Bombyx mori: one gene and its partner. The protein of the gene in region 1 binds, or shares a complex with, the protein of each later gene. Links are inferred from orthologs where the notes say so. Each region holds a gene or a part of one and is shown on either strand. Other genes may lie near its edges.

Region 1 (2,889 bases):
TGTGATAATCAGGATCAACATCCTGACTATGGAACTCCTCATCTCTTAGCAGCTTAGAAATTAAGTAAGTGTTCTATTCAAATGTGATAACTCTATCTGTATCAAGTTTCAAGGATCATCATTAAAATATTGCTTTTACACTGTTTTTTTTTACTCTGTTTTTTACCATTTCATTAATGGGTATTGCCATATTATACAATAGTATTATTACTTTAAGCGTTTTTTGTAAATAAATGATTTCAGTATACTTTGATTTTTTTTATATATTGACACGAATTGAATAGTGTGAAAACCAATTAAAGATATAAAACAAAAAAATGTATTTTCTTAAAATATCAAGAAATAATAAAGTTGTATCCCATTTTAGATTTAACAGAGATATGGGTAGCTTAAATATTTTATATTAATGGATTGATGAATTCATAACTACCTGTGCATCTGCAGTTTCCAAATTATTTAGATATTATTGATTTTCAATGAATTCTACATCAGGATTATGACTAATAAATAATCTTGGATTTGGTCAAATATATGGTTGCTTTGCACCAGCATGTATGGAGGAATTTTGAACTTTAAATGAAACAAAACTATTCCTTAGCCAAATAACTTAATTTATTAAAAAACTTATCTTACATTTTATTTTTATTTTTGTTCTGTGGTCGCGGGTTCCCGCCGCCACGGGCTAGTGGAGGTGCTCTGCCGCGGTTACCGAATGCGCCTCGGCTACCACCACGGCCACCGGTCCTCATGTTTTGCCCGCGTCCCTTGGAAACCTCGTTACGACCGCGCGCTTTAACCTGTGTCTCCTCCTTCACCATGTCGATGACCTCGTCCGGTATTCTCAAGTATTTGATCGTACTACCACGTATATAACATTCCGGCATCCTCCAGAACTTGTCGCCGTCTCTCGACGTGCAAATAACTTCACGTAAATTAATGTTCATCCAATTATCGCAGCTTACGAGATGACCATTGTAAGTTTCGCCATTTTTCAATTCGACAAGCATAGGGTGGTTCTGCGCTGTCCGTAACAAAGATAGCGGCAACATTTTGATGTAATGATCAACTTCGTTTTGAAGTTTATTATTTATTTGTATTAGAAGTTTATTTTCCTACTTTCGCGTTGTTTGGTGTATTGTCAACTTCTTGTTTTTTTAGGTTACTTTAGGACTTTAGGTTGACACTGACAGTGCTCAGTTGTCAGAAGACGCACAGATAATACACTTAATATTTGAGAAGAAGTGAAAATTGCTTCAATGGTAATGTAATGAAGTTTGTGAACAAGAATTTACAAGTAGACGAGTCCAACTGGAGAGTTAAGGGACAGTTCTAGTAGTAGTGAATCTTGTGATGATGATGAATAATAATAAAACAATTTACGTTGCACACCATTGTATTAGTAATAAATAATTAGAAATCTCATTCCTGGTTTCAATTTATTCTAAAGGTGAACCCGTCTACAAAAATTGCATTCAATAGGATAAATGATGAAAAAAAAGAACGTATCGAAACTGGTGTTGAAGGGTTTTGTTGCTGAACTTAATAGTTAAATGTAATGTAACTTTTTTTGTTTTAATTTGACCATACAGCTTACTGTCCATGCAACTATCAATTTCTAGTTCCATGAGAATAAATCTATGTTCGATAATCCAAAGTCAATGACTTTAGCATCCTTACTGTGAGCTGTCAAAATTATCATAAATTTTTACTTTTTGGCGGGAACGCGGGGAGTGAAGTTGTGTGATTTGTTTTATTTTGTCTATTTATTGTTTCTTCAGGTTTAACTGTATAATATCTGTGAAAGTGCACAAGTGTGGGAAATTGAAACAAATCCGCTAGACGTAGCTTGTTGGGATCGTCCAAAGAGCCAATTGAAAAGTCTTAGTAAATGTCCACCATTTTACTGAGATTATATTTCATCCTACATCATCTCATCTCATTTCATTTAATTTCATCTCACTTCATTTCATCTTCATTTCATTTCACTCTATATTATCATTTTTCGTAAAAATAAGAATTAAATAAATTAAAATAAGATTTGACCTAAAAGTTTTAGTTACTAGGTCATAAAATCCCTTAGAAAATATCCTAAATTTGAAAAAAAAAACAGAGTTCAATGCCTTTAATTTGTCGGTCAGCTGTCAATTGTCAATCCTGTGAAAAAAAATGTTTTCAATTGTTAGCCGGTCGGTAGAATAATTTTCATATTCACACGAAAATCAATTAAATAGGTAAAAAGATAATAAGTTCAAGCCCTTCAGTGAGAAATTAGGAATAGATTTCTTGTTTTGAGTCTAACGTAAGTTTGAAACTATTTCTGTACAATTATAATATTCCAAGGAGACCTCGTGTTCCAAATTTTAGTTTTTCTCTTTATTAATTAGTTAAGTTTATTAATTCTTGATTTAATTACGGTTAAAAATCGGTTACGGTTTTTGAAAATCAGATTCTTAATCGCTTATTACGATCAATTAGTTTAGTATATTTGATAAATAATACATTACCCAGTACCTACATTTTTTGAGTTTACACTTACACCTGTAAGCGTTACTTTTGTATCTTCAAATCTGGTCATCAGAGCGAGAAAAAGTATAATGGTAAAATACTATGACGTGATATTCAATAAAATAATTAAAATACCCAGAAAAATATTAAAACTGTACTTGCAGTTCAACAGTTGTAAAGATGTTTACTTCATAATAACATTGTCCATAATTAACAGAGTTACTCGTCATGCCCCAAGCACGTCGGAAGACCCCGTTCAGCGGGAAGGCCAAAAAACAACAACTGCAGTCTAAGAAGCAGAACAAGGTTTTACTCATGCCTAGTACGTATTATCACATATTCGTCCTGAATTTATACAAAATTGAATTAGCTACTACCGCAGAA
Region 2 (2,421 bases), on another chromosome or scaffold:
TCCTTTTTATTTAATCAATGGAATGTGATTTTTCCAATGAAATAATTACCAATGCTAAAACATTTTTTGTGACACGATTAAAATAAAAAATTCAAGCATCTTTTTCTTGTTTATTTGGCTTTGCCGATTAAAAGAAATGCTATTATGCTTATTCTAAAACGGTTATTTATATGCCAGTTACTAGAGCACAAACACATTAAAAAAATTGTGTTGGTAACAGGCTAACTGAGCTGATTGTGATGAGACCCATTAGCAAATGAGAAATAAGGTTCTTTTAGTACCTATGAATATTTTTGATTCCTGTGAATATATTATACAGGGATTTAATGTATTTGAACCTTCATGTGTATTTTGTGAAAGAGTAAAACATATAACCCTTAATTTGGTAGTTTACAATAGGCATCATAAGTAACTTCCTAAGGATTATGTTCAAAGAAATGAACATATATCCAGGGTGTTGTCTATTCTAACAGGTATTACAGGGCATGCTATCACAAATCCTATTCAGAGAATGGAAAACCCAAGCCAGGGCTAAGATTAATTTTTATGGGTGAAAATATGTATTCTGCTTTGCGAATTAGTAAATCAAGACAAGAGACGAATACAAAATATGATATTTATTTGCCCAAATGAAACACCGATTGATAACAAAACATTTATTAACTAGTTCTAATGTACCATTGGTCCAAGTGGTTCTGCCTTGATGTTTCCGAGGTCTAATCTGCTATCAATTGACTCGTCTATTTGCCCGACTATTGCCACATTGTCTCCTCTGATTATGTGAAGTCCAAGTACTACTTGAGCGACGCCACTTGTGGAGGAAAACACTCTTTCGTGAGATTCGTCTAAAATAATATTTATTGTTTGGTCAAAGCCCTTAAGGGTGCCAATAAAATTACGTCCATCCGAAGTTATTACCGACACTGTTTGATTCACGTAATTTTCGAGTCCAGAAGCCATTCTAATTATTTTATTTATAAATTCAAATTAGTAATAATCAACATCAAACAACTATAAGAAATTTTCAAATTTCAGGGAGCTGCCACAGATTATTATTTGAAATGTGTACCTACACAGATTAGTATAATAGCTACTACAATTACTATTACTACCTACATGATTACTACATAATAAATAATAGTTTAAAAAAATAAAAAACACGCTTTATCTAAAATTCAACTAAAAAAATAGAAAATAAATTTTAATAAATTTAAATTGAATATAGTGTAAAATATATTTTATTGTAAAAAAAGCATGGGGTGCATGGTGTTATTAGTTATAAATATTTTTCTGACAGATATGAGTAGAAGAATTATTATTTCAATAATATCTTAAAAAGCACCCCACTCTTTTTTTTAAATAAAATATATTTTACACTATTTTCAATTTAAATTTATTAAAATTTATTTTAATTTTTTAGTTGAATTTTATATAAAGTGTCTTTTTTAGTTTTTTAAACTATTATGTATTTTAAATTTTCTTTAAAAGCGTATTTTTAAAACTATTAAGTACATTAACATCAATTCCTGCCTTATCGAGTATAGATAAAAATTATATAAATTGACCAAAATCTTATTTTATAAATTGAATAATGGAATAATCTTATCAAATTAGTATTTTTTTATCGGTCCTCGATAAATCTACAAAGTTTGAATGAATTCTGGCCGTTTAAAGTGGGTCAAAATCGCGTCTAAAGGAGTCAGTTGCAAACATACATACAAGTGAAGTTAATATAAAGCGTGTAAATTGGGTAGAAAAGATCTGACGGATCATATATTCACAAATTATTATGATACACCAGCAGCCAGGGAACCGGGGTAAATTACCTAAAATGAAATTTTGGGGCGTAAAAATGAAACTTTTGTGAGTAAAAAGTATATATTGAAGTGAAGCTTCTTTAGAATCGTTGTGATTTCAAATTCGATGAAACGAAATTAAACGAAACGAAAAATAAGTCCATAGAGACACAAACACATAAATATATAGGATTCAGCCGGCGAGAGAATGAGATAGAACACATTATTTGGAAACACAAAGTTCACGTGATTGACCCAGGTATTTTATTGTAGGCATCGTGTGAATTATAAAATAACAAGAAATTATCAATTACTTATATTCTCTGTGGGGGTGATTTTTTTTCCTCAACTGTATATTACAGATATTACTATTATTACCGTTATGTATTACTATGTATTACATTGATAAATTGAATAAATGATGCTTAAATTAAATTTTTAGTTTTTTCTTTTGAAAATTATCATCGGGGCTATAATATGAAAGATACTAAAAAGAAGCGATTTCATATTTTTTTTGTTCTTCGCCATGGGGTAATTACCCAACCAACCAACTTAAAAAAATATATTTTGGGGTAATAATTAAAAAAGTTCCCCGACCGCTGTGATACACTGTGCAACATATTAC

What was found. The genes of interacting proteins can lie anywhere in the genome.
Region 2: U6 snRNA-associated Sm-like protein LSm4 (region 1) and U6 snRNA-associated Sm-like protein LSm8 share a complex: the UniProt entries of both Homo sapiens proteins name them as parts of the precatalytic spliceosome. The link is inferred for Bombyx mori from reciprocal best matches to the Homo sapiens genes LSM4 and LSM8.

Annotation. Positions count from the first base shown.
Region 1 is NC_085117.1:3,991,995-3,994,883, reverse strand, and holds U6 snRNA-associated Sm-like protein LSm4, read right to left. Parts: upstream 1,417-2,889; 5' UTR 1,050-1,416; coding exon 630-1,049; 3' UTR 591-629; downstream 1-590. Other genes in the region: guanine nucleotide-binding protein-like 1, read left to right, coding at 2,734-2,827. UniProt on the Homo sapiens protein: Plays a role in pre-mRNA splicing as component of the U4/U6-U5 tri-snRNP complex that is involved in spliceosome assembly, and as component of the precatalytic spliceosome (spliceosome B complex).
Region 2 is NC_085112.1:10,370,815-10,373,235, reverse strand, and holds U6 snRNA-associated Sm-like protein LSm8, read right to left. Parts: upstream 1,070-2,421; 5' UTR 961-1,069; coding exon 670-960; 3' UTR 642-669; downstream 1-641. UniProt on the Homo sapiens protein: Plays a role in pre-mRNA splicing as component of the U4/U6-U5 tri-snRNP complex that is involved in spliceosome assembly, and as component of the precatalytic spliceosome (spliceosome B complex).